Linked DNA regions of Coturnix japonica. The protein of the gene in region 1 purifies or fractionates together with the protein of each later gene. This does not show direct contact. Links are inferred from orthologs where the notes say so. Each region holds a gene or a part of one and is shown in the gene's direction. Other genes may lie near its edges.

The links. Proteins that work in one complex are often made in the same cells at the same time.
Region 2: the proteins of SAP18 (region 1) and SRSF1 purify together in Homo sapiens (co-immunoprecipitation; 4 studies listed by BioGRID and IntAct, with this or other methods). This does not show direct contact. The link is inferred for Coturnix japonica from reciprocal best matches to the Homo sapiens genes SAP18 and SRSF1.

What each region holds. Positions count from the first base shown.
Region 1 is NC_029516.1:159,781,980-159,788,172, reverse strand, and holds SAP18 (histone deacetylase complex subunit SAP18), read left to right. Parts: upstream 1-1,922; 5' UTR 1,923-1,956; coding exon 1,957-2,346; intron 2,347-2,693; coding exon 2,694-2,803; intron 2,804-4,220; coding exon 4,221-4,343; intron 4,344-4,875; coding exon 4,876-5,032; 3' UTR 5,033-5,359; downstream 5,360-6,193. UniProt on the Homo sapiens protein: Component of the SIN3-repressing complex. Enhances the ability of SIN3-HDAC1-mediated transcriptional repression. When tethered to the promoter, it can direct the formation of a repressive complex to core histone proteins.
Region 2 is NC_029534.1:7,445,348-7,451,558, forward strand, and holds the start of SRSF1 (serine/arginine-rich splicing factor 1), read left to right. Parts: upstream 1-2,874; 5' UTR 2,875-3,030; coding exon 3,031-3,224; intron 3,225-3,567; coding exon 3,568-3,752; intron 3,753-4,109; coding exon 4,110-4,282; exon of another isoform or gene 4,283-4,551; coding exon 4,552-4,746; 3' UTR 4,747-6,211. UniProt on the Homo sapiens protein: Plays a role in preventing exon skipping, ensuring the accuracy of splicing and regulating alternative splicing.

The sequences.
Region 1 (6,193 bases):
GCCTTACCTGGTGGGAGCCCTTCACTCAGCACTGTGCTGCCTCCAGCACAGCCTGCATTCTGCATGCCAGCCTACAGAGCACATCATCGCATTTCCATTTGCAGATAATTCCCAACTTTCTCTTCCATGTGCTTAAGAGCCTGAAATTTTAGACAAATAAAAGGTGATTGTTAATACAGCCCACAAATAACTGTCATGCTAGAATTTTCTTAAATGCAAGCACATTAGGTCATTTTTCACATAAATCAAGCATTCAAAAACTTCTAACAGAAGGAACTACTTAGATTCATAACAGAACTGTGCTTTATTTGTTACAGCTGTTCTTTTATGATACCTGATCCGAGACATAAATCCCTTTGTTTCGAAAATGGTGGTTCACATATTGAGCCCCAAGTATATATTAAGAGGGCAGATATAATTAATTTTAAACACTGTAATAAACTGCATCGTTGCCTGGGAAATCAAATCGTACAAATGATGGCAAGGCTGAGTCATTCCCTTTGATAATAAAATGATGACATGTTATAACATAATGCAGATCAAAAACCGCACGGCGCTGTCCAGGCTACCACAGGAGAAAGTTCATGAAAGCTGAGGGTGAACTTCAAGAGGCTGTTGGTTCTCTTGCCCTGTATTAGGAGTGCCATAAATCAATTGCCGTTGGTTGGATTAGAGGTGAACTGCAAGATTTATTTATTTATTTATTTTATGATGAATACAAGAAATACTTCTTCTTTTCCTTTCCTACAAATTCTTTTAATAAGTATTCCACTGAAGTCACCTATCTACAGTGTTTGGAAACGCTGTCACATGGGGTCAGTCTGAGAGCTGGAACAGCTCAGCCCTGAGAACGACAACCCGCAGACCTCAACACTGCGTGTAAGTATCTGCTGAGAGGAGTGAAGGCACAGCCAGACTTCCCAGCGGTGACTGCTGATAGGAGGGGGTGCAGCAGAACTGAACACAGACTGAGATAACAGAATGATAAATATATATACATATATTTATACAGGGAGGGTGGTTGATCAGCAGCATAGGCTGTCCACAGGTTTTGGAGCCTGTGCTTGCAGGCCTTCTAAACTGAACTGGATATATCACTTGGACTTGATGATCTTCAAGGTCTTTTCCAACGTGGGTAATTCTATGATTCTATGAAATAATTTAAATGTAAATTCTCTGAAGACAAATGAACATCCTGCCGTTGTTACAATAACTCACTTCTTTAAGCTATCACATCAGGAACACAGATCTCTCACACCTTCACAGTCTAAGACAAAACATCAGACTTAAATTTAACCTAATACAAGACTTTATTCTTGGAAAAGCCAAGCTCAGAAATGAAAAGCACATGTGCTTGATCTTTCCAACACGTAATATTAAGGGAAGTGAAATTCCAATTTATTTGAATCCACCAGTAGCTGCACCAGCTGATTATTTCACTTATTCACATTAGGCAGCTGCCTATGTCTTCCTCACAGGCACACAGAATGACCCGGGTTGGAAGGGACCTCAAGGATCATGTAGTTCCAACCCCCCTGCCTGGCAGGGCCACCAAACATACACCTTTACTAGATTCAGGTTGCCCAGGGCCCCGTCCAACCTGGTCTTGAACATCTCCAAGGACGGGGCATCCACAACCTCCCTGGGCAGCCTTTTCCAGGGCCTAACCACTCTCCTAGTGAAGAACTTCCCCCTAACATCCAACCTAAATCTTCCCTCTTTTAACTTAAAACCATTTCCCCGTGTCCTGCTATTATCAGCCCTTTCGAAGAGTTTACTCCCCTCCTGGGTGTAGGTTCCCTTCAGGTATTGAAAGGCTGCAATGAGCTGTCACCCCGCAACCTTCTCTTCTCCAGGCTGAACAAACCCAACTCCCTCAGCCTGTCCTCATAGGGGAGGTGCTCCAGCCCCCTGATCATCTTTGTGGCCCTCCTCTGGACCCTTTCCAAAATCTCCATGTCTTTTTTGTACCTGGACAACCGAACAGCCCCCACAGAGCGCGGCGTTGCTCCGGGCCGGCAGCACGACGCCGCTCCGGCCCCATCTCCCTCAGCGGGCACCGACCGGCCGCAGCCACAGCCTCCTCACAGCCCCGTCACAGCCCCCTCACAGCGCGCTTCATCCCACTTCAACCCCCTCACACCCTCACAGCGCTCCCGCGCTCTCAGTCGCCAGCCGCGCCCAGCACGCATGCGCGCACCGCCGCCTTCGCTCCACTATCGCGAGAACCGTGAGCGCGCCGCGAGACATCCGGGTAGTGCACTGCGGGACAACATGGCGGTGGAGTCGCGCGTCACGCAGGAGGAGATCAAGAAAGAGCCGGAGAAACCGATCGACCGCGAGAAGGTGCTGGGCCGGGCCGGGCTGCACGCGGGGCTCGTCCCGCCGCAGCTGTTGTTGGGGCCGCCGGGAGGGGTGGGGGGGCGTGTCTCATAGTCTCATAGTCTGGTGCGGGTTGGAAGGGACCTTAGAGATCATCGAGTCCAACCCCTGGGATTCGAGTCTCTGTGCTGCAGAGCGGCACTTCTACCACTTGTGCCACAGGGGGGATTCGAACCCATGGCCTCCGGTGTTGCACGGCGGCGTTCCTACCACTGCGCCACCGGGGTCGGGGTTGTCTGTGCGGTTGTTGCCGCTAGGCCTCGTTGCGGGCTGTCCGTGCGCTGCCTCACGCCGCTTCGTGCCGTCCCCAGACGTGTCCGCTGCTGCTCCGCGTCTTCACCACCAACAACGGGCGGCACCACCGCATGGACGAGTTCTCCCGCGGCAACGTGCCCTCCAGCGAGCTGCAGATCTACACATGGTGAGCGGGCGGGTGGCTCCTGCGGGGCTGCTGTCAGTGTGAATGCAGTAATCCCTCTCATTGCATTTTAAAGGGCACTTTTGAAGGTGGATTGTGTGACTTTATATACACTGTCTTCAGAGTTTCTGCTGGAGCTGTAACACGTGCATTGCTCTATGGCTGAATAAACCCACTGTTGTCGCTGACAGAGCAGGCAGTTCTCACGTAGTTCTGCAGGGGGTTTATGAACTCAGTGCAGGCTGTTCATGATGTCTGAGCCATCCATAGAGCACTCAGAGCAGCCATTGTCAGCCAGCGGTGGCACAGAGCTCACACTGGGTGCAGTGTGTTCACAGTTCACAGAATTATCAAGGTTGGAAAAGACCTACAAGATCATCCAGTCCCAATCGTCACCAATACTTCCCAGCTAAATCATATTCATCAACACAACATCCAAACGTTTCTTGAACACTCCCATGGTCGGTGACTCCACCGCCTCCCTGGGCAGTGCATTCCAATGCCTGACTACCCTTTCCGAGAAGTAATACTTCCTAATGTCCAGCCTGAATCTCCCCTGGCGCAGCTTAAAAACATTCCCTCTAGTTCTATCACTGATTACACAAGAGAAGAAGTGCGGTTCCCTGAGCTGCTTGGGTGGCTGCGGTCCTTGTGTCTGTAGAGCTCTGAAGTTGGTTTTGGCTTTGTTTGGTTGAAGGGTGGGGAGAAGGAGGAGTGCTGTCTGTCAGAGCAGAAGTGGAAGTACTGATGGGACATAGAATCATAGAATTACCCAGGTTGGAAAAGACCTTGAAGATCATCAAGTCCAACCGCAGCCTAACCAGTACCCTAACTCTAAAAACCCTCCACTAAATCATATCCCTGAGCACCACATCCAACTGGCTCTTAAACACAACCAGGGATGGCGATTCAACCACCCTGGGCAGCCTATTCCAGTGCCTAACTACCCTTTCTGGGAAGAAGTTCTTCCTAATATCCAACCTAAACTTGCCCTGGCACAACTTGAGGCCATTTCCCCTTGTCCTGGGGACATTGCTCGTGATTGATTGTTTTGCTTTTGTTCCTACACTTTATCTAAGAAACCATTTTAACATTAATACCGACTTAAATAAGGAAACATTTTGTGTAAATGCATTAATGCATTATAAAAAGGTCACTCTTTTTTGAGAGGCCTGGAAGAGCAATGCTGATCAGTATTGGTTGTTTGGAATGCCACATAGTTGTGAAATAAGCAGCTCCCTGTATAGCTGAAGTATGTGAAGTGTTGCTCTTCTTTGTGTATTAACAGGAAGCACGCAAAGGCAAGGAAATGTTTGTTTAAGCTGTTGCAAAACACCAATTCCATCTTAAATGAGCATGGAAAGCTTTTTGTATTGCTGCTTTGAGAAGTGAACCACTTGGGTTTGTTTGTTTAATGTAGGATGGACGCGACTCTGAAGGAGCTGACCAGTCTGGTGAAGGAGGTGTACCCAGAAGCACGGAAGAAGGGCACACACTTCAATTTTGCAATCGTTTTTACAGATCTCAAGCGACCGGGCTACAGGTAAAGGGCGTTTCATCTCCAGACCAACAGGAAGCTCGAGGAAGCACAGCAGTAAAATACTTTTTATCAATGCTGATTTTAAAGCCAAATGTTCACAGATAATATTTCATGATAACAGACTGCAGGATTGCCATTATGAACTTCGTGTTTTGATTGGTAACTGCTGTAGTTTGTGTTCCCTAAACAATGAAGGTGTTTGTTTAAGCACTTGGATCGCTGGATTGGCCACCAGCTAAAGGTGGCCCTACGGTGTGAGGTGGAGCTTCATTCCTGGTGGTGTGAGGCTGCCTTGCAGCCTGTGGGGCTCCAGCTCTGTGTGAGCAGGCAGAGGGTTCTGTCTCGTGCTAAGATGGCTGAAGAGTCCCCACCCCTATGCCCTGTTAGAAGGACTCTATGTAGCTTTACTTGGTGCAGCAGAACACCCTGTGGATGGAGCGTGGCATGGCGAGGTTGGAAAGACTGGTGCTGCTCCTGGGTTGGACATGCAAAGCCTGGGCTCTGGTAACTGACTGCTTTTCATCTCTGTGCACAGGGTGAAGGAGATCGGCAGCACCATGTCGGGCAGGAAGGGCACAGACGATTCGATGACGTTGCAGTCCCAGAAATTCCAGATAGGAGACTACCTGGATATCGCCATTACACCACCCAACCGCGCCCCGCCGCCTTCCAGCCGCATGAGGCCATACTGAGCCACGGCTGCTTTGTACCGTGATCTTTTCTGCTTATTCCTCCTTGCTGTTCTAAAGCAGGTTTTTTTTTTTTATTGTCTTTGTTGCAAAGTAAGGACACCTGAAGACAAAGCTAAACGTCAAGGGTGTAAGTCACATTTTAAGCCTTTCAGTTTGTTTGTTTAGAAGGAACGCTTAATCTTTAGCAGTGCCATCACTCTTTTCCTTGGCTGGTCCATAGTTTGCTAAGTAGGTCATTGTGTCTTGTGTGTCAGGTAGAATGCAACCAGGAGGATGACAGGTGTTCTGTACTTCTGTCTTGTGTGGAATAAAGATGGCTGTTATTAATCTTTTGAGTCCAATTGTGCTACGGTCAGAAGCTGCTGGTAATGCTGTGCGGTGAGCAACTCCTGCACCGCCCCGCAGCTGCTGTGCTGCGCTGTCCCTGCAGGGGGAGAGCTCGTTCCGCTCACCGCCTCTGCTCTGCGGCGGTACCTTGTGGGTGAAGCACCGGAGTGTTGGGGGCAGATCTCTGGTCTGGGCGGCGTTTGGCACGGCCGGGAGCAACGCTGAAGTTTTCATTCATGTGGAAATCCACTTTGCAGTCGAGTCCAACAGCAGCCGGTTTTTAGTTGGACAGCAGGAAACAACTGTCCACATGTTGAAGGAGGTGTGAGTGAAAGCTGCGATGGGCTGACTGCGATGGCAAGGAGCATTATCAGCAGTGAGCTTCAAAACTGTCTCGAGTGCTGAGGAAGGAAATCAGTCACCCAAAGGGACGAGTGATGTACAACACAGCACTTGGGAGAACCTAATGCACAGTCTCAAAACCCAACAGCAGTGAGCAAACCCATATGCTCGAGAAGCAAACACAGCACACAGCTGTGTCAATTAGCAGGGCTAATTACAGGCTCTCATTTCAGCAGCGTAACTCCAGGAACTCCACCCTGCGTGGGGATGCAGCAGGATGGAATGGATATAGCTACAAGACCTAGGAAAGCGGGCCCTTATTTTCTCCTTTCTGCACTCAGTAACTCAACAGCAACTCACGGAGCAGTGGCCACAGGAGAGCTCACAATGCAGCTGTGCAGCCAGCTCAGTACTGTGAGCAAGGGCAGGATTTCACAAGGCACTCAGACTGGTGACAGGAGCTGCCCGTGTTCCCCTCCCACACATCCCTTT
Region 2 (6,211 bases), on another chromosome or scaffold:
TTTCCCACCTTGCAGGCTTTCATTGCCCTGTTGTTACACTGAGTTCCTCTGAAAAAATCACCAGTTGCAGTTTGGTATCACAAATAAACAGCATGGAGACACCTCCAGCCCAACACGTAGAGCCATGGAGACAGTCTGTGTGTCACTGCTGACCTGCCAGCAGACCCAGCTCCCCAGAACCAATGTCATGGATCAGGAAGTTTGCACAGCTCAGTTCTACAGTAACTGTTCCAGCTCACAGTGCTGTGTGAAAACGGCCCTTTTCTCGCAGACAATCAGGGCTTTAGGGGCTGTTATTTTGCAGCACAGTGTGATTAGTCAGGATTAATCCCTGCCCAATTCTGCAGCGCTTTAGGAGCAGGTTCTCCCACCCCAGCCCTGGGAAAGCCACCACTCTGCAACGCTTCTGTTTCGTCATCAGTAGAAGTGAATGATGAGCTCAGTGCAGAGCCCTGCAGGGTCTTCACTGTCTTCACTTCCATTCTGAGAACAAAAACCCGTCATTTTACAACAGCTGGTTGACGTTTTTGGTGTTGTTTGGCTTTGTTTTGCTATTGGCCATTTCTTACCTCGTAGTTTATTTCCCACATAATTAATGTTTAATGATTCTCCACATACACATCTTTTCTTTTTTCCCAGAAAGCCAAAAGCAGCTCTGGAAATGCAACCCAACATTCTGCAGCTTATCCACATGCTTTAAGTGCTCCACTGATAACACAGAGCTCAACAAGGGAATGAGAAAGAAAACATCCAATAATTCTATAAAGAGACACTTCATTAAAGCAATTAAGGCAATCATTTAAAGTAGTTATAAGGACTATTAACACACAAAAGAAATTGTGCAGCAGGGTTTTAGCAAACCAGGCAGATTCACCATTATCTTATGACGCCTTTAAGAATAACATCCAGCATTTATTAAACCCCATTCCCAGGCTTAGGCTGCAGCTTTCTCCAGACATGGGGAGAGTTTGTTTGGGGTCTTTGCAACCAGTTCACACTGGAAAGCATTAAAGCTCCATAAAGATGCAGGAAATCCCCCAGAACCATGAGCTGTATGTGGGTAAAGCACCGCTTCTGCTGGTGGGCTTTGCTCATCACATCCTCCTGTGGTTGACAGCAGTCTTTAAAGCACCAGCAATGCAGCACAGGCATCACTAATGTCAGAAACCATTAGAGCAGAGGACGTTACTGCACTTTAACCCACAGGGACAAAAATAAAAGGCATTGATAATAACCAAGCACACTATAACTTTGTCATGAAAATGTTTTCACTATGGGATGTTTTCTAACTGTAAGTCACTGTCTGTGGGAGGAATACACGCTTTGAATTAACAAATGAAAACAAAGTGAGCACAACAGCCACTGCTAAATGCTCGGACACATTCCTCAAACTCCCCTCATCAACTCAGGAGCATAATGGCTTTTCTCCATGCTCAGCTGCTGTTTCCCCATCCCTGTGGTGCTGAGATTCAGCCCTCCAGCACCAGGCAGGCTCAGCGGTGCTGGATGCAGGCAGGCAACCACTGTGTGCCCCAGTGCCACTTCCAGCCCTCAATGCATTGCCACATCTGCAAAGCAAAGCACAACGTCCAGGCAGCCAAGTGTGAGCCAACAGAGCAGGGACTGCTCTGCCCTCATGGGTCAGGCAAAGACTTTATGCTGTATTAAAGAAAGAAAAGTGGATGTTGGAGTTTCTGTGTCACCACAGAGCAGCTACAGGCCAAAAGAATTCTTGTTGTTAAACCAAAGCCTGGCTCATCTAATTGCACCCTCATTACTTAAAAGCAATTTATACGTTCAAAATTACATCTGCTGCCTGAAGAAATGTCAGAGACGTGTGAGTAACAAGGGTAACATCCCGGTGTGTTACTGTGCCTTCACATCAATTACAACCTCATCAAGAAAACAAACTCAGCACGGCGTTATTCTCGTGCCCCCATAGTTCGGCTGTGCTCATAGGAAGGTTCTGCCCATAGTTAGGCTGTGCCCTTAGGCCGGCTCTGCTCACACCCGTACACAGCGCCCGCCATCGCCCCCAGTTCCGCTCGTTTCCCACCCGCCCGGTGTTTGCACTGCTGTTCCATTCATGACTCAGTCCCCATCACACCCTGCCGTGTTCCTGCCCTTTATTCGTATCCCGTTGCCGTCCCGCTGCCCGCCCCGCCGCGTTCCCCTGAGGCGGGCGGTGACGCGGTGCCCGCTCCGTGCCCTCGGGGCGGCCATTTTGCCTCCGCACCGAGCCCGTCCCAACCGTCCCACACAGTGTCCGCTGAGCGGCTGACGGACCCACACGGCCCGCTCCCCGTGCACCCCGTGCAGCCGCAGGGCGGATCCGCCCGCAGCGCTTCGTGCGGACACGGATCGGTTCGGACCGGCCGGGAATGGACGCTCAGTACCGAGCCCGCCCGCCCAGCGCTGCGCACGGCCCGACCCGCCCGCGGTGCATTGTGGGCCGGGCCACGCCCCGCGCCTTGGCGCCAAGAGCCCCGAGCGGCGCGGTGCATTGTGGGACACCCCCAGCGCCGGCCGGGACTTCTTGGCGCGAGCGCCGCACCGGAAGTGACGTCACACGGCCCGGCGCCCTGAGACGGCAGCGGAAAGAAGCGCGGCGGTCCCGGTGCGGACAGCGGGGATCGGAGGCGGATATTCACGTTCATCCCGACCTCGCTGGCAGGAGCGGAGCCTCTTGTGCGGCCACAGCCGCTTTGGCGGAGCAGCGGAGGCGAAAGGCAAAAGAGAGGAACTACTTTTCCGCGCTGCCGCGCATGCGCGAGGGCGAGAGCGCGGCGGGATACTCGGAACGCATTGCGGTCTCGCGGCCCGGCGGTGCTGCGGCGCGGGGTGAGAGAGATCAGTGCGCGAGATCAGTGCGCGCTGCGAGCGCGAGGGGAGCCGCGGTCGCCATTTTGAAGCGGCGGTTGCTGGAGTCGCCGTGTCCGCTCCCGTCCGCACGGCCCGGCCCCGCGCCCGCCCGCCCGCCCGCGCTCCGCGCCCCGGCCCCTGAACGCCGCAGCCATTGCCGACCTCGGCATGTCCGGAGGGGGCGTGATCCGCGGCCCGGCCGGCAATAACGACTGCCGCATCTACGTGGGCAACCTGCCCCCCGACATCCGCACCAAGGACATCGAGGACGTGTTCTACAAATACGGCGCCATCCGCGACATCGACCTGAAGAACCGCCGCGGGGGGCCGCCCTTCGCCTTCGTGGAGTTCGAGGACCCGAGGTGAGCGCCGCGGGGCCCTGGGGCACGGGCGGGAACGGCTCCGCCGGGCGCCGATACCCCCCCCCTCCATTCCCTCCCTTCCTCCACGCGCGGCGCCGCTCCCGCTGCGCGCTATTCCACACACACACACACACACACACACACACACACACGCTCGGCTCGTTGCGCTCCGGGCCCGGCGCGGTGCCGCCGCTGGGGGTGGCGGTGATGGCGGTGATGGTGGTTGTGGTGCTGATGGTGGTGGTGGGGGCGGGGTGGGGCCGCGGGTATTGGGAACAAAGGCGCTGCGGGGGGCGGCGCGTGGCAGGGCGCGGCCGCGCTCACCGCCCGTCCCGACCCGCAGGGACGCCGAGGACGCCGTGTACGGGCGGGACGGTTACGATTACGATGGGTATCGCCTCCGCGTGGAGTTCCCTCGCAGCGGCCGGGGGACCGGCAGAGGAGGCGGCGGCGGCGGAGGGGGCGGAGCCCCGCGGGGCAGATACGGCCCCCCGTCCCGGCGATCGGAGTACAGAGTGATCGTCTCGGGTGAGTCGCTGCTCTCTTCCCCCGGGTCCTTCGTGCTGCCGTGCGCGGGGGGCGACGCGGCTCCGCTTTTCCCTGCGAAGCCTCGGGATGGGGGAGGGGTGCTGGATGCTGTGGGCTGTGTGCAGGGTGTTCTGCTCGTGTGCTGCGGGATGATGCTGGAATTGCAACACCGGAGGCCTTGGGTTCGAATCCCCTGTGGCGCAAGTGGCAGAAGTGCCGCTCTGCTACACAGAAGGCTCAAATCGCGGGGGGTTGGACTCGATGATGTCTAAGGTCCCTTCCAACCCGCACGAGACTGTGATACTATGATATGATCGCACCATTGGGTTTTAAAGCCAGGTGTTGCTTTTTATCCAGGACTGCCTCCAAGTGGAAGTTGGCAGGATTTAAAGGATCACATGCGTGAAGCAGGTGATGTATGTTATGCTGATGTTTTCCGAGATGGAACTGGTGTCGTGGAGTTTGTACGGAAGGAAGATATGACCTACGCTGTGCGAAAACTGGATAACACTAAGTTTAGATCTCATGAGGTAGGTTTCACGCTTACTTGTTTTTGGCCAGAATTGGATACAAAGGGCTTAACAGTAGGATGTGAAGGTAAGGAATGTGTGGTGATCATTGCGTTAATACACGAAGCAGCTAAACTGAGTCTGCTGTCAGTTTGTCACGAAATAGACTTTATTAAGAGTTTGATGTCTATTTCTGTGCCTTAGTAAAGATATCTGCAGTCTGTCAGCATGCCTAAAACGATGGCCCCGAAGCCTAGACCTTTCAATCGAAAGTTGTGTCTATTCAATAGGGAGAAACTGCCTACATCCGTGTTAAAGTTGATGGTCCAAGAAGTCCAAGCTATGGAAGATCTCGGTCACGCAGCCGTAGTCGTAGCAGAAGCCGTAGTCGAAGCAACAGCAGAAGCCGCAGTTATTCCCCAAGAAGAAGCAGAGGATCTCCACGCTACTCTCCCCGCCACAGCAGATCCCGATCTCGTACATAAGCGATCACTAGCTCTGATCTTTTTGTAGAACCCCATGTTGTACACAGTTTTCCTTTACTCAGTACAGTCTTTCAATATTATTTTTTTTTAAATTCAAGCTGTTTTATTCAGATTGGCTGAAGTGTTGAATTGCATTCTTGTGTAAAATCCCTAGTGAGTATTTGCTCCGTAACAACAACATTCCCCCTCATGTCTTTGGTAAACTGTATTTTAATTGATGTCAGTCAGGATTGTTTCAATTTAGTTCTAGTTAAATACCAACACTCTTCAAACTGTGGTATTGCTGTGTAAATGTCTCAGTGTTCAGCTATGGTTCATGCGAGCTGGGGATGTTGGGATGTTTGTGGCTAACTTGTCTCTTCTGGGGGATCTTATATTTTATCTTGCCTTTTCGTGTGTCTTTCTGTAGACATATCTGAAGAGATGGATTAAGAATGCTTTGGATTAAAGGATTGTGGAGCACATGTCAATCATTTTAGGATTGTCAAAAGGAGGATTGAGGAGGATCAGATCAATAATGGAGGCAATGGTATGACTCCAAGTGCTATTGTCACAGATGAACTTGGCAGTATTGACCTTATACTGAGACAGGTGAATTGAGAACGTGCGCCTGCGTGTCACTTCTTCAGGCACCTCTTGGTCACTGCGGGCTGCAATTGCTCTGTTCTTTAAAACCCTCTTGGCAATTGTGGCTCAGTACTTGCCGGTGTAATTCCTTATTCCATTCTAGTCTTTTTTTAAAGGAGTAAACCGGGACAGGGGTGGGAGCATTGGTTTGTCCCGCGGCATTTGGTTCCAAGCGTTAACGGCCCGCAGTACTTCCACGCTTGCGGATCAAGGGTATCTTTAAATGGGAGTATAATATCAATACTGCTAAAATCTGCATGTCCTCTGTGTGACTGATACAGCGTTGCTATTTCATTTCTTTTAAGTATCAGAATGAAAGGGAAAAAAGCCAAAAACCCAAATCCTAAGAGAACCTGGTTGGGAATCGTTTGTCAGCCCTTCCCCAGCCTAATTCAGAGCTGACTCACCGTATTGAGAGCTGCAGTTAGTTCCTCTGTTACCTTCCAGCCGGGGGTGCTGGCCGTAGCTGAGAGGCGCAGTAGGTGACAGCTTTAGCAGTAAAACTTTTCCAATTTCATAAACATTTTTTGCAACCACAGAAGCTGTAGAGCACCACCGTACGAGCAATGAGTATGTTGGCATTTTTAGTTGACATATGTAAATATTGCAGTGTTTCCTCCAAATAATTAACGTTTCTTAAAGAGAACAAAAGATATAGCATCACCATTCAGAAGCTTGTTTTGGGGAATTGATAGTTATTACTGTACATCTGTATTAATTGATGGCAAACATAACTGATCATTCCCCAGAATCCTATTTTTTCATTGCGGTATCTAACTTTTTGCCTCCTCTTTTTTGGTTTTGCTGGTTATAAAGGTTTGGATTGGAGAGGGCTCAC